Arabidopsis thaliana: one gene and its partners. The protein of the gene in region 1 interacts with the protein of each later gene in a pairwise test. Each region holds a gene or a part of one and is shown in the gene's direction. Other genes may lie near its edges.

Region 1 (7,962 bases):
TTTGTAAGCCTTTGAGGCATTATCTCCTAGAGAGTTAGAATAAACTTCGTTTAGAAATTGTCATCCTTTTCTCACCAAATGATTGACGAGTGAAAATTGATCTCATCGTAAAGTATTTTTGCGGTCAAGTTCAAACAAATTGATCCCTTCTCTCGCACCATATTCTTGTTTTATTTTATTTAAACGATCGATATATTTCCAAACCATTCCTCCAAAACTATCACACATTCACACCTACCAATTTCAACTTTAAATACAAAATATAGTCTTGTTGTAAATATAAGATACACTTTAGAAGTGTACACGTGAAATTCAGGTATATATATTACAATAGTAAGCAACCTCTAAGTACAATTAAATCAAGAAAAAAATAGATTTGAATTAATAGGAGCGGACATGGGATGCATGTAGAATTGTAGATTATCATTTATTATGGTGACTAGACCATTGAACTTTCCTATAACTTTGAAAATATTCTTATTTAGTCATTTAATTTAGATTACACCAAAACCCCAAATATGCCAAATTTTCTACAAATACCCCAAAAAAGACAATTTATAAAATTATTATCCAACCACATGTAATAATCTTTGATGACTTTTAAGTTTTAAATTTTAATAGTAGATTTAGATAATATAGGAACCAATTATTCAAAGGTCAAAGTTCAAACTAGCTTATCCAAATTCATTTTCGCTGATAAAAATACGTTGAAACTATCAAATAACAAAATACCATTACACCAACATCACCAACTTTTTAAAACCCCACAAGTTGATTATTTGAATTTGCTTTTAGGTCCTCAAGTTCAAGATTGTTTCAATTTGCACAATCTGCATAAATCTTTCTGAAATATAACTTTTTTGCCCTCTAAAACTCAAGGGTTTGATTTTTCTTCTTCAACTACGTTAAGATTTCTCCTACACTTTTCTTTTTCACCGTATTCTCTTTTAGTCCTCGATTCTCTACGCGTTTCAGCGTCAAGTCTTCTAGATCTCTAAAGCCTTCGTGCTCGCCAATATAAATCTCTGAGATCGGTCCCGTAAAATCGGATTCGCGTCGTTTTTGAGTAAAAAAAATGGCGCAACAATCGTTGATCTACAGTTTCGTCGCTCGTGGTACCGTTATCCTCGTTGAGTTCACAGATTTCAAAGGCAATTTCACATCAATCGCTGCTCAGTGCCTTCAGAAGCTTCCTTCTTCTAACAACAAGTTTACCTACAACTGCGATGGTCACACGTTCAATTACCTCGTCGAAAATGGATTCAGTGAGTCAAAATATTGCTCGATCTGTAAGCGTAGCTTGTTTGTGTTTTGATTTATCCATTGTTTGAATTAGATTTTTTGCCTAATTGAGAAATATGAATCGAGTTCTTATGTTTGGTATAGTTTCCAGTAATAATTATGTATTGGCGTTGATAATTAATTGATGTTAGATCTATGGTAATCAGTGATATTTTTGGTGGATCTATCAATGAATATTTGCAATTTTTGTTCTGGATCTATTGATTCTTTGCTTATTTGCGTGTAGCTTTCGATATCATGAAGTTTTTGGCATTAGTGTATTGTGTTCTTTATGTAACTCTGTTTTACTAAACCTAATTGGGTTTTGGGTGATGTTGATGGCGGATATGGTCTCTTTATGATAGTGTTAACTTTCTTATCAGCGATATATTGATGAATCTATTGCTTTATCTCTTAATATAGAGTTTAAAATGGACCGGTTTTGTTTTCGTTTGTGCAGCCTATTGTGTTGTTGCAGTTGATTCTGCTGGGAGGCAGATTCCTATGGCTTTCTTGGAACGAGTTAAGGAGGATTTCAACAAGAGATATGGTGGTGGAAAGGCTGCAACTGCTCAAGCAAACAGCTTGAATAAAGAATTTGGGTATGTGTTTTTTGATCTCTTTGATTGGTATTGAAAAGGGTCTATGATTCATGGGCATAGTTATTGATGGACTTCTTTTTGGCTTCTCTAAAGGTCGAAACTGAAAGAGCATATGCAGTATTGCATGGATCATCCTGATGAGATTAGCAAGCTTGCTAAGGTTAAAGCTCAAGTGTCTGAAGTTAAAGGTGTTATGATGGAAAACATTGAGAAGGTTTGATTCTGACCCTTTTTTCTTTTTATCGATATAGTTTTATGTTGTAAACCTTTTCGAACAGAGTTCAGCTTGTATGACTTTAGTACCAGGATCTTATGATTCGTAAAGCATAAACTGTAGAGAGGAATGTTTTATTCTCGGTTGTGAAGACATATTCTGTTGTTAACTCGTTTATGCATTCGTTTGCAGGTTCTTGACCGTGGTGAGAAGATTGAGCTTTTGGTTGACAAAACAGAAAACCTTCGCTCACAGGTTTGTTTTCTAAATGGTTCAAAGTCAATAGACCCACACAGAGACATGCAAGAGTTTGCAGCTTTCTCTTACTGATTGTTGTTTCTTGGGTTTCTAACTTTAAATTTGAACTCGACTTTATCACAGGCGCAAGATTTTAGAACACAAGGAACTCAAATGAGAAGAAAGATGTGGTTTCAGAACATGAAGATAAAGCTCATTGTCCTTGCAATTATCATTGCCTTGATTCTCATCATCATCCTCTCAATTTGTGGGGGATTCAACTGCGGTAAATAAGTCTGGAACATTTCTTCCCGGCGTTATCGACTGCGCTCTGTGCTTCCCAAGATCTCTGAGAATATCTTCATTCAGTTCGTTGTGCTACCTTTTTGTTTTGTTTTTGTTTTTGTGATTTCTATATTCTCATACTATATGTTTCTTCTTAGATTGTACTTCTTGAAATTTGTTTTGTATAGGCTATATATATTATACATATATGTATGCATGTTCGACAATCTGCAATGTTGCTATTGCTGGTACTGACACTAATTCTTGCAAACCAATATTTGGACGATACTTGTTCTTGGCAATTTACTAATTTCTTTGGTCTGTTGATGAGACTCTAGTTGCGGATTGCAGTGAGGTATAAGCATAGTCCACAGCCGGTTAATATTAAATGGAGATGAATATGTAATTAACACGGTTTCGTCTGACCGATTCACCAGAGTCTCCGGTTAGTTCATTAAGGGTTTGCTCAAACGCTTTCTCCTCTGCTTCCCTAATTTCGGAAACATTCGCCTGATTTTCTGAGATTTTGGAATTTCTTCGAATTGATTGCCATGCTGAGCTCAAGATTTCGACTGCTGAAATCGAGGCGACTTGCGGAGCCACCTCCGGCTGATGTCGCGGTTATGTGTATTTGCAGGAAATGAAAGTGATCTCCTTATTGCGGCAAATCAGCCACTTCCTGTCGACTAAAACTGTGGTGCAGCATGTAAGAACAAATGCAAGTTCGGACAAACGTGTTGTCTTGGTCAGTGGTTTTACTTGGCTTAGTCTTCGATTCTCTACGCGTTTCAGCGTCAAGTTTTCTAGATCTCTAAAGCTTTCGTGCTCGCCGATATAAATCTCTAATATCGGTCCCGTAAGATCGAATTAGATTCGCGTCGTTTTTTAAGGAACCAAAATAATGGCGCAACAATCGTTGTTCTACAGTTTCATCGCTCGCGGCACCGTAATCCTCGTCGAGTTCACAGATTTCAAAGGCAATTTCACATCTGTCGCTGCTCAGTACCTTGAGAATCTTCCTTCCTCGAACAACAAGTTTACCTACAACTGCGATGGTCATACGTTCAACGACCTCGTCGAAAATGGATTCAGTGAGTCAAAATATTGCTCGTGATGTGTTTGTGATTGTGTTTTCGATTAGTCGATTTATTCATTGTTTGGATTAGATTTCTTTTTACCTAATTGAGCATTTGAGAATCGAGTTCTTATGTTTGGTATATCTCTATGACTTATCTGAGTCGAGTTCTTATGTGTTTACCGTTTGGTATAATTTCAGGAATAGTTATGTATTGGGTTTGATAATTAATTGATGTTAGATCTATAATCAGTGATATGTTTGGTGGATCTATTTAAGCATCTATGCAATTCTTATTATGAATCTATGATTCTTGGCTTCTTTGCGTGTAGCTTTTGTTTTCATGAATTTGGCTGGTTTTTCAAATGAGAGTTGTTTGGGAAATTTGTGGATATATATCGCTCGAGTAAATTGCATTGGTGTATTGTGTTTATTATATTGCTCTGTTTTAATTAAACTTAGTTGGGTTTTGATGACGTTGGATATGGTCCATATCATATGGACTCTTTATTATATTTTTTAAGTTTCTTATGAGGGATATGTTTGTGCAGCCTATTGTGTTGTTGCAGTTGATTCTGCTGGGAGGGAGATTCCTATGGCTTTCTTGGAACGCGTGAAGGAGGATTTTTATAAGAGATATGGTGGTGAAAAGGCTGCAACTGATCAAGCAAATAGCTTGAATAAAGAATTTGGGTATGTGTTTTTTGATCTATATGATTGGTATTGAGAAGTTTGTATTATTCATGTCAATGACAGACTCCTTTTTGGCTGCTCTAAAGGTCGAATCTGAAAGAGCACATGCAGTATTGCATGGATCATCCTGATGAGATTAGCAACCTTGCTAAAGCTAAAGCTCAAGTGTCTGAAGTTAAAAGTTTAATGATGGAAAACATTGAGAAGGTTCGATTCTGACCCTTTTTTCTGTTAATGGTATAATTTTATGTTTTAATCTATTTCCAGTAGAGTTAAGCTCGTATGAGTTAAGTGTCATGATCTTTTGGTTCCTTAACCTTTAAATTGATGAGGGGAATGTCCAGTTCTGGGTTGTATAGGCATGTATGCTGACCGTTTTTACATTGTGGAACACATTCATTTGCAGGTTCTTGCCCGTGGTGTGATATGTGAGATGCTGGGTAGTTCAGAGGTTAGTTCTCTTAGGCATATGGTTCTAAGTTCCATACACATAGATATGCTTGAGTTGCCAGTTCTCTCTTACTAATGTTGTCTTGGGTTTCCAACTTTTAATTGAACTCGAAACTGTCACAGTCACAGCCGCAAGCTTTCTATATAAAAAGAACTCAAATGAAAAGGAAGAAGTGGTTTCAGAACATGAAGATAAAACTCATTGTCCTTGCAATTATCATTGCCTTGATTCTCATCATCATCCTCTCGGTTTGTGGGGGATTCAACTGCGGTAAATAAGTCTGGAACATTTCTTCCCGGCGTTATCGACTGCGCTCTGTGCTTCCCAAGATCTCTGAGAATATCTTCATTCAGTTCGTTGTGCTGCTTTCTTTTTGTGGTTTCTAATTTCTAATTTCTGCTATGTCCTTTCTACTTAGGTTGTACATAAATATTATACATATATGTATGTCCTTTCTTCTTTGAAATTGGTTTTGTATAGGCCATATATATGTATGAATGTTTTTGCTATTACTGGTACTGACACTGATTCTTGCGAACCAATACTGTGACGAGATTTAAATATGTAATTGGCAACTTACAAATTGCTCTGGTCTGTTGATGTCTTAATGAAGGCTCTAGTTGCGAATTTGCAGTGATGGTGATAACGGTGTAACATAGCCTAGATTGGAGACGAGTCTGTTTGGTCTGACCGGTTCAGCAGAGTCTTTTTTTTTTTTTCGTCCTTCAGCAGAGTCTCCGGTTAGTTCGTTTCTTTCGTTGCTGCCACATCACCTCGCTCGAACCTTTCTCTTCTGCTTCCCTAATTACGGAAACGATTCGTCTGATTTCGATTCTTCTAAACGATTAGTCGGCTAGCCATGTTGAAGACGACGCGCTCAAGTTCTCGACTACTGAAATCGAAACGACCTGCGGAGACACCTCCGACGCCGGTCCGAAGGCTTCTGGACTGGAGGTGATTTGGCGTCTAACCGATGGATAGCTGCGACTGCGATGCATTGTTAAGGAAACAGACAGAGATGAGTAATCCAAATGCACCTGTGACCTGCTTTGGTATTGTTTCTGATTCCCCTCCTATGTGAAATTCAATGCTTGTTAAATTAGGGAAATTTGGTAAAGCTAAACCCTTGGTTTCTAGCTTTAGAGTCTGATATTGTATTAGAGAGAGTGTTTTTATGTGTATCTTTGTTATCATTTTCGATGATTTGATCTATCTAGTTTTCTCACAATGTTATACACAATCTTTTAACCATTGATAAGCAACCTTCATTGAGATAGAGAGAGGCAAAGCACAAAGAAAGGAGATTTCAGAACTCAAAAGATTTCAGTTTTAAGTTTTCCTTATAATAGAAAAGGATCTATTAACCGTTGAAATTCTAAAGCTTTTACATTTCCTTCCAAACTCATTCCTCTGTTTTCTTATTTTCCTCTTTTCCTAAATCAGGTTTGTCAAAAAAAAATAAAAAAAAATGGGTTCAGTTTCTCTCTGAAGAAACCAAACGACCCAAAACAAGATAATTCCATAATTGTAATGGCTTCAAGTCCACCCAAGAAGACCTTAAATTCACAATCTTCTTCCTTAAGCCGGCCTCCACAAGCTGTCAAGTTTGGTCGCCGGACGTCCAGTGGTCGCATTGTTAGCCTCTCCCGTGACGATGACATGGACGTCTCTGGTGATTACTCCGGCCAAAATGATTACATCAACTACACCGTCCTCATGCCTCCAACACCTGACAACCAACCTGCTGGCTCCTCTGGCTCCACCTCGGAGTCTAAAGGTGATGCTAACCGAGGTGGAGGAGGAGGAGACGGGCCCAAGATGGGGAATAAGCTGGAGAGGAGATTGTCTGTCATGAAATCAAATAACAAATCAATGTTGTTGAGGAGCCAGACGGGAGATTTTGATCATAACAGGTGGTTGTTTGAATCTAAAGGAAAATACGGTATTGGAAACGCGTTTTGGTCAGAAGAGGATGATACCTATGATGGTGGCGTTAGCAAGTCCGATTTCTTAGACAAGCCATGGAAACCTCTCACGAGGAAAGTTCAGATCCCGGCCAAAATTCTTAGTCCCTACAGGTGATTGTTTGTTTTCACATTTTAAAACCCCTCAAGATTTTCTGCTTCTTTTATTGATGTCTATTACAGAACATCAAAATCTTACAATTAGTCCCCTTGTTTCAGGTTATTAATCGTGATTCGTCTTGTGATAGTCTTCTTCTTCCTTTGGTGGCGTATTACGAACCCTAATGAGGATGCAATGTGGTTATGGGGACTATCGATAGTCTGCGAGATTTGGTTCGCTTTCTCTTGGATTCTTGACATTCTTCCGAAGCTAAACCCTATAAATAGAGCTACTGACCTTGCTGCCTTGCATGACAAGTTTGAGCAGCCCTCTCCGTCAAATCCCACTGGTCGCTCTGATCTTCCCGGTGTTGATGTGTTCGTTTCCACGGCTGACCCTGAGAAGGAACCGCCTTTAGTCACTGCAAACACCCTTCTCTCGATCCTTGCTGTGGATTATCCAATTGAGAAGCTTTCTGCTTACATTTCTGACGATGGTGGTGCAATTCTCACCTTTGAAGCTATGGCTGAAGCTGTTCGTTTTGCTGAGGTTTCATTTCCGCTTTCTCTCCCTCTGTATCTTAACTAGTCTATTAGATGGTGGCAAAAATCTAAATGGTTTTGAATTTTGTTTGCAGTATTGGGTGCCATTTTGCAGAAAACATGATATAGAGCCACGGAACCCGGATAGTTACTTTAGCATTAAAAAGGACCCAACAAAAAACAAGAAAAGGCAAGATTTCGTCAAAGATCGTCGTTGGATCAAGCGTGAGTATGACGAATTCAAGGTCAGGATCAATGGTCTTCCAGAACAAATCAAGAAAAGAGCTGAACAGTTCAACATGAGAGAAGAGCTCAAGGAGAAGCGAATTGCCCGAGAGAAAAATGGGGGTGTATTGCCGCCAGATGGGGTTGAGGTGGTAAAAGCAACGTGGATGGCTGATGGTACGCATTGGCCAGGGACATGGTTTGAACCTAAACCTGATCATTCAAAAGGAGATCACGCCGGAATTCTACAGGTATGAACCATCAACTTCATTGATTTCAAGTAAAACCATGAA
Region 2 (8,521 bases), on another chromosome or scaffold:
TAGTGTATAATTGTGAATTAAATAATTACTCGAATCAATTAACTCTTTCGCTAATTTATTTTAATGATTCACAAGACAACACTAATCATATTTAGAAACTTTCTTCATGTTCAACAATAGATAGTCAGACTAGTTTTCAATCTTTGAGTCTCTCTGGTCCGAAAGAATTATAGACATAGGTCCAAAACTATAGTACTAGGCGCAAAACTTTTTGGAAAACTAAAATAACACAAAGGAGCACACGTTCAGCATGAACATGATGTTAGAGAGACCGACCATGAAATGTGTTGGCTTACTCCCAAAGCAAAAGAAAAACTTTAGATTGAAACTAATTAATGAAAATTTGTGTTTAGATGGTTAAATATACAGACTAACCAAGAATAAACTCCAATCCCGTGTAATTGTTAAAACAATATGATGTAAGTATATAGTATCACAATAATAATTGCAATTATATATAGGCATGCAAGACTCATTCATACCATATGATTGATTCTTGTACAATACAATAGCTCACTGGAAAACCAAAAGAGAAAACGTTTTAACTGAAATCAGTGCTAAAACAGCAAGTTCACGTACATATCCACATAGTTGACTTTTATTTTTATAATAGAAACCTTTTCACTTTCTTTTGGTTTAAGGATAAACGAACTTGTATATGAAGCTTCTTTTAATGAGGTGAAGGAATTTATTAGCGGAGGAAAAAAAAATCATTACTACTTAATACTTATCAACCAAAAAAAGAGAGAACAAGTCGATATTTGTGTTTAACTGTAATTATATGTCTTGTCTACGATGTTGGTCATGGTCGAAATGAATTGTTACCAAACATGAACACTATATATCTCATATTTGACATTGCGTAATTCATTTGACGACCCTAGAGTTTATGATTACTCTAGGTAATTTCAATAAACTTATGGTATTTCGATAGTTAATATATTATGTTGTTCGATAATGGGTCCTCCCATTAAAGAGGAGACTTGGTTATTAAAAATTAGTGATTTGGTTCTTTCCGTATTACGGCCACATGCATGTAATATGCTACGAAATCCTTTATACATTAATTGACGACAAAAATTATAAAGAAAAATAGACATATAAGCTCGAGTAAATTTATGGTAATTCGCATTTCATATAGAATTTTACATTTTATTCCGCTGTTTGGTTAGAGTAATTAGGACTTATGTACCAATTTAGAAGGTCTATATGTTACGTTCCATACTAATATTGTAGGTGATAAAATGCACTTACCTCTCTTGATGTTCATAAGTTATAGGACAATAAAAGCCTTTTGGTAAAGAAAAGAGAGAGAGATACTATTATTGAATGGATTATTGCAAAACTTTAGTACCCTAATTGATTTAAGGAACGTACTATTTGCTTCACTGAAAATGATTCATTGCCATCCATAATATTCTTTTGATATCTTCTGCTCTAACTTGGATATATGTTAGCCAAAAACAATAAAAACATCTCGATCACGTGCAAAGATCTTGAAATAGATATGTCTCTCTATTTTTTAATGTCTATGAAAGGACGTAACAAGTTTCTCTTCTATTTCGCATTTGGTAATACATTAATGTTTTAAGAAGACATTTGCCCAAGTTGCTAATTTTTTCTTTTTTTCCTGATGAATATTCAATGCATCTATGGCTTTGACAAAAAAAGAGATAAAAAATGAAGGAAACAAAATAACCAATGCATGTAAGTAATAATACTCTTCTCGCAAATGAAAACAAAACCTCGAACAATCAATTTACTAGCTATGCGCTAGGGCCAAGCTACTATACTAGGCACTAGGTCCGATTTATTCAGAATCAGTTTTGATATGGATATTGGTCGGATTCGTTCAACCCACTGATTCCAATTTGGTTTTGAAAAACAATGTTCGGCCATTTGCATCCAGAGTTATTTAAATCACGAAAAATATAGTTTGCTATTTATCATATACATACGGAATTTGCATGTTAACACTATTGATCAACTAGATTTTTCTAATGTTATATTTTTTTTGGTGGGGAAGTATTGAACTTACCTTACCACTCTTTTTCGATTCAAATACTAAGAATCACATTTATCAGTTGTGAGTTTAGCTAAATATGTGGGTGGTTTTAAATTTGTGAGTATTAAATTTGTCATTTCTATCACAAAACAATGGGAGAAAAAAACGAAAAACTAGTTTCCCGACATTAAACATGCGAATTACTGAAACATGGATAGGTCCACCATTTTTGCCATTTGACAAGCTCGGTCTCTTGTTTTCCTTGTTCATAAATGATTTTAGTTTGTTTGCTTTTTTAAACGCATCTTTCTATCACTTTTTTCTTTTGGTTGCAAATATGTCGTTTTCTCTCCTCCCTCCTTTTCCGGGATTTAACTTATCACAATGTAATGAAATTTGCATGTTCCTCTCTCGCCATTGGCAAGTTCCATTGCGATGTCTCTATCGATAGGTCAAACAATCCAAAAGAACCAAAACCTTTTTTCTTTTCTTTTCCACTCACATTTAATCTAGGGACCCTTTAATCTTATTCATTTTCTCAACGATAATGTAAAAAAGTATAGTTAGTAAACTGTTAACTGTGTAGATTATACATGTTTTTTAATCAATCATATAATTAGAAGGGGTATTTAGCCGTCCAAAAGCTGTTTTCGCGTGACTATGCATGAAACCCACTTACGTAGCCTCCAACGTAACGACCAATAAAAAGCTCTAACTTAGGAACATTACAACGAACTAATATTTAATAAGTTATATAAGGTCATGAAATGAAATCTTATAACGTATCTAACAACTCACATGATCTATACCATGTCACATTTTTTATCAAACATATGTTAACCACCTAAGCACTAACACTACTCTTTGATCAAACTTATATTTCGCATATACTCCAAAAGAAACCAAGTGGCATATTGGCATATCTCGTAATGTGGTGCCAAAAATGCTTATCAACTTAATTATAGTTCAGATATTGTCTCCGTATCGTATCTTAATATTTGTATTCAACAATAGGTATTATGTTGTATTAGCTAGGTGTGATTTGTAACGAGAAGAGATATCTCGTTCTATTGTGAGGTAAAAATAAAATAAAGCAGTACAAGAACATAACGGTATAAACGGTTTTTACTGTTAAAAAACTTGTAATTGTTTATGTACCAACCCTATTGATTGTGTTTAAGAAATTATTTTTAAATCTTGAGATTCTTATTCAAATATAAACATTGAAGATCGATATTGCTCAATATCACAATAATCTTTCTAAGTTATGAAAAGAACGTCTACTACTATTTGTTTAAAACTACATAGGACAACATCAAATCAGTTTTGAAATTCATTGTAAAATTCTTTTAATACTAAAATTGTTTACAGTTAATGAGAAATTACAATATTATTTTTAGCAGATTATAATTAGAAAATACATTATTATTATTGATCAATTTACCTTGCAGTTCCACGCAAAACCAACAAAATAACAAATAACAAAGCATTGTGTGGAATGACGTAAGGATGAGTCAGCAGACAAGGAGTGAGATCGAATCGGGTCAAGATTATCTGGTTGGGACCCGTCACATGCACATGGACCCTCTCCCGTACCTAATCCAGGTTAAATAATCTTGATTTTCTGTTTAATTACCTTAAAAACACATTATTATTGAAACTAATAATAAATCTCGGATCTTTGGTTCCGACCATACTTGCGAAAGATCATTGCTTTAATGCTAATGTTTCTCTAATTTTGATATTCCTTGAGATTAGATTCCCTTTGCATTGTCTTTTCTTGTTAATTTGTTAGGGTTCATATTCTTACATTATTTTTTTTGGCAAAGAAAAAAACATTTATAAACATATCTAATTCGAGCCTGATCTATTAATGGGTCAAATAAAAGCCTCTTTGGCCCAATTCAATAAACTGGCCAACTGGGGATCATCATAGAGACAGACTACTAGAGAGTAGAGACGCATCAGAAAGAAGAGAAATTGATCCCACAAGTTTAAACACGATTACAAATTAAAACGTGCCACGTATTCAAGACGGTGAATTAACACGACGTGGCAAGGTATGATTGGATAACTTACGCAGCTGCCTAACAAAAACAAGTGATTTGAGTTTTCAGATGATTAGAAGGAAAAAAAATTCTGGAACTTTCGAGCTTCTGTTTTGCGGTGCTCTCAAAGCTTATATCGGATCTCGAATCTTGAATCGGACTCAGAACCTCGGATCTTCGAAAATCGACGAACATGTCTTCTCCTGGCGAGTGAGTTCCGTTCCCCTCTATTGAAACTTTGCTTCGATTCGATTTTGATCGAGAGATTCTTAGCTTGGTCTTCGTACCCAGGATTTTGAGTCCTTAGGTTAATAATTTTCATGATTCGTTTAGCTTGTATAGGGGTTTTTGAAGCATTCAACTGTTGATTCTTCTCAATTCGAGCGTAATTTTGCAACACCAAGCGAGTTCTGTGAACTTGAGCTAACGCTATTTTTAGTATATAGTTATCAATTTGCATTGTCATCATTTGATATTTTGGTGATTTGAGATGTAAAGAAACATCTTTTATGCCATGGAAGTTAGTACAAGTCAACTGGTAGTTAGTTCTTGAAATATGGAATCTCATAGTGTCTTGAAGCAAAACTGTTCTCGTTTGCTGTATCATAGTTACAAGGCTACTTTGATTCTCCTAGCTACGATAGTCTAAAATATCTCTGCGTAGGCTTGTCTCTTGTGGTAAAGTTTTATGCTTTAGCTGATCTTGATGACATTTCCTGATTAGAAATTTATAGATGGATGGAATATGTATGATTTTGATTGTTTATCTGTCAAATTGTTTCTTAGATCGCTTGTTATTGATTGCAGATTCTATAACTCACTTCCACCTATAACCAAGGCTTATGGTACGTTGTGCTTTTTCACTACAGTAGCCACGCAGCTTGGCTTAGTTGCTCCCGTTCACATTGCTTTAATTCCTGAACTTGTACTTAAGCAGTTCCAGGTATATGATTTATTCTTTTTTATGATTTTCCTTTCTTTCTCACAAATCTCTGTCATCCTAAGTTCCTAATTCATTCTGCAATTTTTGATCTATTTGGTGTTTGTAGATCTGGAGGCTGATAACAAACTTGTTTTTCCTCGGTGGTTTCTCTATCAATTTTGGAATACGTCTTTTGATGATGTGAGCATACTATTTTCACATATATAGATGAACAAAGCTAATTTCGATTTTTATTATCTTAACATACTCTTTTAAATGATTGTGCAGAGCAAGATATGGAGTTCAACTCGAGAAAGGGCCATTTGAAAGGCGGACAGCAGACTTTTTGTGGATGATGATCTTTGGATCCTTCACTCTATTGGTATGTAAAGCCTCCCCTGTATTCTATTCTTACTGATCATTGTTATTGGTTCTTTGAGAACCCCAGTACTAGTATGTGGTATGCCACAAAGTAGATAATCGCTGGTACATAATATCCCAAAGCTGAGAAGATCAGAAGCTCTCAAAGAATTGAATCAGGGTTGCATTTTATTAAAGCGAGACAAAATTTTGGAAGGTATTCATACTAGTAAATCCGTGTGTTAAAACAGTTACCTTGTTCAAATTTCAGGTATTATCAGTCATACCATTTTTCTGGACACCGTTTCTTGGTGTTTCACTTGTGTTCATGCTTCTTTATCTCTGGAGCCGAGAATTTCCAAATGCCAACATCAGCCTATACGGTCTTGTCACTCTTAAGGTATTGAAAGTGTTTCTTTTGTAATCAAATCCACTCCTTGGTATATATAATGTTAATGGTGAAAGTTGGAATTACTCCACAGGCTTTCTACCTCCCATGGGCAATGCTAGCACTTGATGTTATCTTCGGTTCTCCGATCATGCCAGATCTTCTTGGCATCATAGCTGGACATCTATACTACTTCCTAACAGTCCTTCATCCTCTTGCTACCGGAAAAAACTACCTGAAAACCCCAAAATGGGTGTATCCTTTATTCAAATTCTCGATTATTTCCAGATGATTGTTTCTCTCGCTTCTCAGTTTTTGTTTTGCTGTTGTACCTTGACATTCTCAACAGTAATAAAATCGTAGCAAGATGGCGAATTGGAGCTCCAGTTGCAAGTGTTCGACAAGCAGGTGGTGTAGGAGCAGCAGGACCCGGAGCTGGAGGAGGAGTAGGAGGAGGAGGAGCTTATTCAAGCGCTCGTGCCCCACCCGAGAGTTCAAACACAGCATTCAGAGGTCGATCATATCGTCTCACCGACTGAAATAGAAATCTTCTCGAGTTTCTTTGTTTTCATCATATCAAATCTTTTTCAAACAATGCCACTAACTAATCCCAGGTAGCTTTGTGTTTTCGAACAGTACAGTTTTTGAATATATGACTCTGTAGGAAGAATCTTTGAGGTTTTAATACAATGTTCTTTTCAAAATGTGGTTCATGTTTCTATGTTTTTGTTTTTGTCTAGCAATCATCTCCTTACTAAATTGAATTCGATAAACTATAGCCACTATGAATATAATCAAATGAAATTTGTGACATAAGAATTTGGACGTAACGAGTTTGAATATCTATCTAGATAAGTTATTAAATTCGTGACCAAAGAGTTTGGTCGTAACAAGTTTGAATTTTTTAGGACATAATATTATTATTGGCTAACAAGATTACGACTAACGAGTAAATAATCATTCCTTCGGTCCTTCCTCTAAAATGCCGTTGGTGATCGTTTATAAATAGGGGAAATAGGAAAAGGGAAGAAAGTAGACGTGGCAAATAGCGAAACAATGATTGAGCTATAACAAAGGCGAAACTTGAGCGGCACTAATTGAAAATCACTCCTTGTTTTTTTGAAGAAAAAGTAAGATGTAGGGCTGAGAATTCGTCTATGTGATCCAACGGTTTTAAAATGATCCTTGTTCCTTCCTCTCCTATTTATCTGAAGGACGAAGTCCCCACGCTGCACATAACCGGGGCACTTAACGTATAGATCATAAACAAAGAAGAAGAAAAAAAATAAGAAAAGAAGAAGAAGATGTCGTGGCAAACTTACGTTGATGAGCATTTGATGTGTGATGTTGGCGATGGTCAAGGACACCACCTTACTGCTGCCGCTATCGTTGGTCATGACGGTAGCGTTTGGGCTCAGAGCGCCAACTTCCCTCAGGTATTTGATTTCATTGCGTCTGATCTCAATGTGATTTAGATCCTGATAGTGTTGCTATCCGATATGATATGTGTTTTTACAATGTGATTTAGATCATGCATCATGTTTTGATTAGATTCTATCAATGTTTGTCATGGGATATATATATAGTGTATTTTGTGTGTGTGTGTTTCTTTTTATATGTTTTGCATAGATTTGAAAACAAATGATGCATGTTGTCTCATGGTAATCGACTAATCGTGATTTGGTCTTTCATATAGTTCAAGGGACAGGAGTTCAGTGATATTATGAAAGATTTCGACGAACCGGGTCACTTGGCACCCACGGGATTATTCATGGCAGGAGCAAAGTACATGGTGATCCAAGGTGAGCCCGGGGCTGTAATCCGTGGCAAGAAGGTAACCTAATCAGTAGCTTCATGATCAGATATGCAAATACCATGTTGAAGAGGGTTCTAATTCAATATATGCTTCTTTCAATTAGGGAGCAGGAGGCATAACGATAAAGAAAACAGGACAGTCATGTGTGTTTGGGATCTATGAAGAGCCAGTGACACCAGGACAGTGCAACATGGTCGTCGAGAGGTTGGGTGATTACCTCCTCGAACAGGGTCTCTAGAATCTTCTTACAATGTTCCACCACCTACATTTTTTTATAAGGCCATTGTTTCTCCTATTTTTTTCCTTTGGGTGATTTGCATCTCTTTCTCTAATTGATATTATAAGTTTTGGGCTAATGGACCTTCCTGGTTTCTCCCCATAGCAAACTTTTAAGAAAGCTGAAGCCTAAAAGGCTTTTACTCTCTTTGCCTTGGTTTCTTATTTATATGCATGTTTTAGTTGTTTTCTCTTTGCTTTTTTGTCAATTGCATTCTGTCTACTACACTAAATATTAACGTATTGATTGAGAAAATTGCATTATCATAATCTATAGAAAATTGTATGTAGTGTAGTAGAGACATTAATCTCACAATACTAAAAACACTTTCAAAATTTACACGAGCATTTAACACATACATCAACACTCATTATTTACAACAGAAGAAAAAACTGATACGCAACGCAATCTTTCCTAGTGATTTCATTCGTAAGAAAGAAAAAATGAACATGAGAAAGAAAAATGGCAACAGGCAGAATTCATTCATCAACTTTAATCTTTAATAGGAAAGTAATAATAGTACAATTATGTCGGAAAATCATTCCCATCCCATCTGTCTTTATTATGTGCTAATCTAACAGCTCATCGAGAAATCGAATCTCAGTCTTTTTTCCCTATTATTACATTATCACTTAGATATAAGGAAATTTTTGTTATCTCACAATATTCACTTTGAATCAATACGATGCACATATAACAAATTAA
Region 3 (7,559 bases), on another chromosome or scaffold:
ATGAGCTGAACAAACTGCTCATTATCGTAGTTGTTTTGTCTATGGCATTAACACCTTATCTTAACCAACTTGGAAGAAAAGCCGCCGATTTTCTTGATGAGAGACTTGATCCCGGAGAGGTAACTTTTAAATTTTCTACTTTTGCATTTATATGAAAAATAAAATTTGCATTCATCTTGAATCTGTTGACAATTGTGCAGAAAATAGGTGAAGATGTGAACTTCGATGTTAGTGAATCAATTGTCATCATTGGATTTGGACAAATGGGTCAGGTAAAAGTCATCATTTGCTTTCCTGGAAAAGTTGTGCTAAGTGGTTTCTCATCGAGTCGATATGATTTTGCAGGTTCTGGCCAATTTTTTGTCAACGCCATTGGTCTCAGATAGTGATCTTGTGGGATGGCCTTATATTGGTTTTGATCTGAATCCTGCTGTAGTGAAGGTCTGTAACAGATAACTTCGTTTGTTCCTGACCTGATCAAATTTTTGGCATTCTAAACTAGTTTTTTCTTTATGGTGGTGGTTTGGTAGGAATCAAGGAAACTCGGTTTCCCGATATTGTATGGAGACGGATCTCGACCATCGGTTTTGCAATCTGCAGGGGTTTCATCTCCTAAAGCTATCATGATAATGTATAAAGGCAAGAAGAGAACCACTGAGGCTGTTCAAAGACTCCGTCTTGCCTTCCCCGGGGTTATTTCTCTCTTCCTTCTTCCTTTTGTCAATAAAATCGTTTGAGACATCAAGTTTAAGTGACAACAACTGTTCCTTTTAACATATTACCAGAGTCCTATTTACGCAAGAGCTCAAGATTTACCGCATCTCCTTGAACTAAAGAAAGCAGGAGCCACAGATGCAATTCTCGAAAATGCAGAGGTAAAAAACTTCCAAAAGATGTCTGCTCTTTTATGATCACAGTAAGATTTCTTTCTGAACGAGTTTGGTTGTTTGTTTCGGGTTTATAGACAAGTTTACAGCTCGGTTCGAAGCTGTTGACAGGATTTGGAGTAATGTCTGACGACGTAAGCTTTCTAAGTAAAGTTTTCAGAGATTCAATGGAGATACAAGCTCAAGAAGAAATCACAGCTAGTGAAACAAATGCTGGTTTGAAGCCAATGCAAATGAAAGCATCTGATATAAACGTAGTGTCTGCTGCAACACAAAAACAAGTCCAGCTCATGAAGCCAATGCAAATGAAAGCTTCTGATTCAAACTCAGATTCTGCAGCAGAGATTCTTCAAGAAACAGCTGGTTTGAGTCAGCCTCCTGAGATTGATGATTCTTCTGTGAATATAGATAATGGATTTGTTGGTAAAGCTGATAAAGCTCAAGATTAAAATTGCTCAAAAATTCTAACACTTTTTTTTTTTTTTCTGAAATGTGCAGCCAATATTCCAAACTAAAAGAAACAATTTTTTCTTTTCTTTTCTGTGATTATTATTATTATTATTATTTTTCCTCACTATCACTGTCGCTAAAAAGCCAATAGTTAGCTCAAATTCATTAAATATCTTCACTGTCTAGGTACTATTGAATCATGGATATTAGTGCCAATATAAATTCGAACATAATCCAATGTTGGTCTTTACAATGAAATGAATTGAAACAGATTTGATTATATTACTAAAGAAACAAAAAAAAATATAGTAAAAAAATATGAAATCCACACAAATTAAACATGGAAATTTAGAAAGAAAAAAAGTAGTTTCTAAATCTTAAAACATAGATATTGATTTTAATCCTTGATCAAATAATCCCTCATAAAATTGTAATTTAAGTCGTTTTGTTTAGGGTTATATTACTATCTATACTCAGATGATCGGAAAATTAATAAACTATGCATGATAAAAAATGGGGTTGCGGGTATGATATTTATGGGGTTGTGGGTATTATAAACATAACGATATAATATCTATTTGTGTTTCGACACGAATCAAAGATAGTGGGACGCTTAAGTAACATTAATATCACGATAATCTCTTATCTGCTAACACGAGCCTTTTTATTCGAAGCCTTTTAAAATAAGTCTCAAACAATTGTGTACGAGGATAATTTGATAACAGGATAATTTCATATCGATTCCACACGTTGTCGCTTTGGGTTTTGAACAAGAATCAAAACTTATATTGCTATTTAATAATATTAGTATCGCGATAATCTCGTATCTGCTAACGCAAAACTAATAACACTCTCTGATTACTAACCGTGTACGGCTAACATGATAAGTTTGTATCTGATAAACACGATAACGTTTAGTTAGTTTTTTTTTAAAAACCCATAAGCAAAAGCCTACAAGTGGAAATGGTAACGAAGTTAGTCGTTAAAACTACTAGCAGATAATTAAAATAATAACGAGACGATGTCAATTTGTGTTTTGACACGAATCAAAGCTAGTGAGACGCTTCGGTAACATTAAAACATACACTCTTATCCGCTAACGCGAGCCTCTTGTTTGTAGCCTTTTAAATTAAGTCTCAACGAGCTTAGCTGGTGACAATGTTAGTCGATATACCTTCTAGCAAATAAGCAAAACAATAATGAGAGTTTCGCAGGTTGTATTCTGATGTTTTGCAAAAATAATCAAAACTATTTACATTTTCTGATAATCAACGGTATCACGATAATCTTATAACCAATAACAAAATAATTTCGTGGCTGCTAATCACGATATCATTTTAGTTAATTTATTAAAAAAATCCCATAAACAAAGGCCGAGAGGTTGAAATGGTAACAATGTTGGGCGATAACACATTCTGATAACATTAGTATCACGCTAATCCCTTATCTTCTGATAAACATTAATCCTCTCGCCGCGAAGTTCTTTGCCAAAAGCAATCAGACGGGGAGGGAGAAGAATCGGCAGCATCGTTCCTAGAAAAAAAAACATAAATCCTTGTAAAACAACTCAAGATAGGAAGTCAAAATCAAAATAAAAAGGAAACATCTATATCGATTACTAGCAAAAGACGCGAGGAACAAAGCACAAATCTGATAGATGAACTTCTGTTCGAAAAACAGAACGAAATAAAACAAGAATTTGGAGGAATCATTTCTTTTTTTCTTACGCCTCAAAACGACAGTCTCTTATCTTCATACAAAACTGGAAAGAGACGAGTAACTACGTAAGAAAAAAAAACCATTAATAAAATAACACAACTTCCCAAATATATCTACATAAAATCTTCTTCTACACTACTGCAATAATATCCCTCTACAAGCTACAACTTACGCAATCGATAATATAGGGGTACATGTGTAAAATTTTTGTTAACAGTGTTGGGCAAACAGTGCAAAATGAAGAGAGTGAATTAACAAGTTTTCGAAGCATATCAAGTGATATTTTTGTTTATATGAGTTTTGAGGACTGACTTCGTCTAAGGTTTGTTCGTGGCAATAAAAATAAAGGTTCGAGTTTTTTGGGAGCTGAGACAATCACGCAGATGTCTGAGCTTCACAGATTATTCTCAGACAATGTTTATTCTTCAAACGACTACTGATATCGTTTGTGCTTTCTTTGTAGTATTTTTTGTTGTAATCATAGGTTTTTTAGTTTTAGTTATAGATTTTAGTTTTCTGTTTTTCTTTTCTAAAATGATATATAAATTATAAATACTTTTTTTGTTATCAGATATTGTTTAAGACTCGACCCAAAATTATAAATACATTGATGAAAAAAAATAGTATATAGCTGATGTAATCCACGCGCTTGCTGATTAGTCGTGCTCATGTAATTAAACAAATATCGCAAATGTTAAACTATTATACACATATAAATTTCTGTATATACAAAACAAACGAAGAAGACGAATCTCTCAGTTTCGTCGTTCGTTTCGAAGTTGTGCGTTGGTGAAATTTGAAATCTGAATACACTCATTGCAAACCTTAGAAGAAGAAGAAGAAGAAGAAGAAGAAGCTTCCATAGATTCCGTTGGGCTTTTACTGTGTTTGATTGATCGGATCGATTGCGATTACGGAGAAGATATGGCTCAGGCTGTAGAAGAATGGTATAAACAGATGCCGATTATCACTCGCTCTTATCTCACGGCGGCTGTTATCACCACCGTCGGATGTTCCCTCGATGTACGTGCTTGCTTGCTTATTCGCGAATCTTTTTTGGGGTTCTCTGAAATTCTCTAAATTAGGGTTTCATATTCTGATTGTTTTTGTTTTGCAGATCATATCTCCATATAACCTTTATTTGAATCCGACACTTGTGGTGAAGCAATACCAATATTGGCGTCTCGTTACTAATTTCTTGTATTTCCGGAAGATGGGTAATTTTCCCTTAACACTACTCTATGAAACTGGATACAACATTTGTGTGCTTATTACTTTCATATGAAGCTCTTGTCTTTGTCACATTATTAGCTCTAGGCTGCTACTTGTTAATAGCGTTGTGACTGATTGATTGCTTATAAACAAATATGTGTTTGGGGTTGTTGTAGATTTGGACTTCATGTTCCATATGTTCTTTCTCGCACGATACTGCAAACTCCTTGAAGAAAACTCATTCAGGGGAAAGACTGCTGATTTCCTATACATGCTCCTATTTGGAGCATCTGTTTTAACCGGTATTGTACTTATCGGTGGAATGATACCATACTTGTCAGCATCATTTGCTAAAATCATCTTCCTCAGCAACTCATTAACTTTCATGATGGTTGGTAACTTCTGTTTCCCACAAATCTAAGTCGCCTCTAAATATCAGCTTATAGTCTCTTGTGTTCCACAGGTCTATGTATGGAGCAAACAAAATCCTTATATTCACATGAGTTTCCTTGGTCTGTTCACCTTCACAGCAGCTTACCTACCATGGGTGAGTTTAACTCTCTCGTTTCCCTAAACTTCCACCGGAATGAATAAATAACATCTTCTGCAAATTCTGGCTTTTGCAGGTGCTTCTTGGCTTCTCTATCCTTGTTGGTGCCAGTGCTTGGGTGGATCTTTTGGTATATACTCAGATTATCCCAAAAAATTTCTTCTCCAGTCTCTTTTGATCTTTTGTCACCCAAGTTAACTTCAGTCTGATCAAAACATTTCAGGGTATGATAGCAGGTCACGCTTACTACTTTCTGGCTGAGGTTTATCCGCGAATGACTAATCGTCGTCCATTAAAGACTCCATCATTCCTCAAAGCGTTATTTGCAGATGAACCAGTTGTGGTTGCACGGCCAGAAGATGTGAGGTTTGCTGCTGCGCCTTTCGATGAAATCCACCAAGACTGATTCTGTCATCTTACATTTCCCAAACCTAAACACCCGAATCAGTAGTTTGGCTTGTGGATCAGATATAAATGGTGCAAAGGCAGATGATACACAAAAGTCTATTTTGACTCTGACACGTAGTTGCGACCCACACACCCTAGTTTCTAGTAGTTGGGTGTGTTTTGGTTCCTTCTCTTTCCTCCCATCTCTTCATCTTTTTGTGTATACAAACATCGTTTGCTTTTAGTGGTTATTGATATGAACACACTCAATTTGTACACAACCTCTACTAGTGTCGCAATGTTTTAGCGAGGGAACATGTTTTGAATTCACTGCCCGACTCAGATATCAGAAGAAATGTACTTTTGTTCAGATATCAGAACAAATGTTTCATTGCTTTTAGTACATTTTTTTTCCTTTTCTATTTCAGTTAGCAGTAGAAAACAGTGAGAGCTGCGTATTCCGGAAAACAACAAGACATGTTCAAGCTTCTTTAATTAAGCATGTGCCTCGTGTGTGAAGTTTATAAATGTTGGAAACTAGAAACTATGATCTCTTAATCATAGATATAGGTCTCTTCTTCCAGTATTGTACACCATAAGCTGCAGTTGAAGCCATAGTCGTCGAAGCAACTAACCAGCTGGATACAAAACAACATGAGACCAATAACAAGATTTCAGAGAACACACTTCATATGTTTATAACTTTAAGGGTAGTGATTAGTCCAGCTGTGTGGTAATTCGAAAAAGACCTATTACCTTAGATAAGTGATCCATGTCTGGGTGTCTGGATTCCCAAACTCTGGTTGAAGTATTGCACCAGCGACTAGAGTCAACTGGAAAACTGTATTCACCTGTCGATAGACATGTTCCATTAACAAATCAGTTACACATACCAAAGATGCCAAGATGAGAACAAGCTGTATCACCTAGAGATCATACCTTGCTTATAAACAATGGTTCTACTTTCTGAGGACTTGAACCATCTAGATTGAAGAAGTCACTCCAAGTTTTCCACTGAAAGAAACAAGACCAATATGATTCCCATCAATAAATTTATTCGTGTTCTTGTTAAAGCATATGGTCGAGCAGGAAAAAAATGTAGGGAAACAAGAGAAATTAGTTTAGTGGTCTAGCTCAAGTTACAAAAATTCACCTTCCAGTCCAAGTTTAGTGCCCTTAGGTAAACTGCACCACCAACGAGTGCAACATCCCGTAACAACACAATTCCAACCAGTCCAGCTTTAGAGCACAAATGTCCCATGCATCCACCAAAATTGAGTATAGTATCAAAGATTTTTAAGAAGTTTAAAAGGTAGTAGTGCAATCTAGGACTAACACACACAGCCGAGTTTAGCAACTAGTTAATTAACTTAGTACGGTTTCCTCTTGATACATCCATGCAATCTTGTAAGGAGGTTTGTTCAAGGAGATCAAATAACTGTGCTTATGAAATTATGAATACGACAATTCTGATACATTTTTCCCAGGCGATCACTCAATTGGAGTGTAAATCAAAGCACATGTTCCTTATAAGAGAAAATTCCGCCCTTCAACTTTGTGAACTCTAGCTATTTCAAAGTTTCAATTGTAACTGCTAACTTATTATCTACCAGGAGTAAAAGAGGTAGAAGAATACTCACGATGTAAGAGATCCTTCTGCACCATTGCTACTGCTACACACCCGATAAGAACCTGAATTCAAAACACGAGCACAATCAAGAAAACGGAATTGAAATGAAATGAAACCTCACACATGTTTGCAGCTTGAAACTAACCTTAACTCTCAAACACATTCAGAGAACATCCACAATGAGCCAACAAAGTAAAACACATAATAGATAAAGAAAGACTTTACCTTGTCTGCAAGAGGATCAAGGTACGAGCCAACCACAGAGTTAATCTTCATCCTCCGAGCCACGTAACCATCTAACTACAAAATCAAGCATCTATTAATACAATGTTCTTCTTCCAATACTACAAAAAAGAAAAAAGAATCACAAAGAAGATGCATACCCAATCACTAGCTCCAGAAACAGCCAACCCTAAGAAAGCAGAAGAATACATCTCATTCGAGATCATCCTACAATAGAACCACAAACAAAGTCTCAGATTCTTCATTCTCCTAATATTATCTTCCTGAGGAATATATACTTCTATACTTACCACCAAAGCACAGGACCAGATACTAATCTCGCCATTGATATCATATTCGGCACATTAACAAAACTCTTGACTAATTTTCCACCATCTTCTTCCTTGGAATCGTTGCGATCCACCGTCAATATGTTTGGTACCACAGACTGTAACCCTAACTGTCTCGGAAACCTAGTTCTGCTTCTAATTCGATCCAATCT

Evidence for each region.
Region 2: the proteins of VAMP723 (region 1) and DER1 interact in a protein complementation assay, tested with the Arabidopsis thaliana proteins (one large-scale study listed by BioGRID).
Region 3: the proteins of VAMP723 (region 1) and DER2.2 interact in a protein complementation assay, tested with the Arabidopsis thaliana proteins (one large-scale study listed by BioGRID).

What each region holds. Positions count from the first base shown.
Region 1 is NC_003071.7:14,038,451-14,046,412, reverse strand, and holds VAMP723 (vesicle-associated membrane protein 723), read left to right. Parts: upstream 1-3,023; 5' UTR 3,024-3,520; coding exon 3,521-3,710; intron 3,711-4,245; coding exon 4,246-4,387; intron 4,388-4,473; coding exon 4,474-4,594; intron 4,595-4,793; coding exon 4,794-4,838; coding exon of another isoform or gene 4,839-4,913; exon of another isoform or gene 4,914-4,960; coding exon 4,961-5,116; 3' UTR 5,117-5,375; downstream 5,376-7,962. Other genes in the region: SAR1 (synaptobrevin-related protein 1), read left to right, coding at 1,076-1,289, 1,742-1,883, 1,977-2,097, 2,290-2,352, 2,479-2,628; CSLD1 (cellulose synthase-like D1), read left to right, coding at 6,369-6,916, 7,022-7,451, 7,540-7,920. UniProt on the Arabidopsis thaliana protein: Involved in the targeting and/or fusion of transport vesicles to their target membrane.
Region 2 is NC_003075.7:14,440,691-14,449,211, forward strand, and holds DER1 (DERLIN-1), read left to right. Parts: upstream 1-3,862; 5' UTR 3,863-4,246; coding exon 4,247-4,263; intron 4,264-4,860; coding exon 4,861-4,996; intron 4,997-5,102; coding exon 5,103-5,176; intron 5,177-5,263; coding exon 5,264-5,357; intron 5,358-5,606; coding exon 5,607-5,735; intron 5,736-5,817; coding exon 5,818-5,978; coding exon of another isoform or gene 5,979-6,015; exon of another isoform or gene 6,016-6,072; coding exon 6,073-6,262; 3' UTR 6,263-6,547; downstream 6,548-8,521. Other genes in the region: PRF4 (profilin 4), read left to right, coding at 7,028-7,159, 7,420-7,557, 7,643-7,777. UniProt on the Arabidopsis thaliana protein: May be involved in the degradation process of specific misfolded endoplasmic reticulum (ER) luminal proteins.
Region 3 is NC_003075.7:2,456,155-2,463,713, forward strand, and holds DER2.2 (DERLIN-2.2), read left to right. Parts: upstream 1-3,698; 5' UTR 3,699-3,980; coding exon 3,981-4,079; intron 4,080-4,173; coding exon 4,174-4,273; exon of another isoform or gene 4,274-4,444; coding exon 4,445-4,659; intron 4,660-4,731; coding exon 4,732-4,815; intron 4,816-4,894; coding exon 4,895-4,948; intron 4,949-5,041; coding exon 5,042-5,224; 3' UTR 5,225-5,585; downstream 5,586-7,559. Other genes in the region: KEA3 (K+ efflux antiporter 3), read left to right, coding at 1-119, 201-272, 346-441, 531-692, 786-875, 965-1,336; CLS (cardiolipin synthase), read right to left, coding at 5,750-5,843, 5,962-6,056, 6,145-6,219, 6,359-6,444, 6,846-6,897, 7,061-7,135, 7,219-7,285, 7,369-7,559. UniProt on the Arabidopsis thaliana protein: May be involved in the degradation process of specific misfolded endoplasmic reticulum (ER) luminal proteins.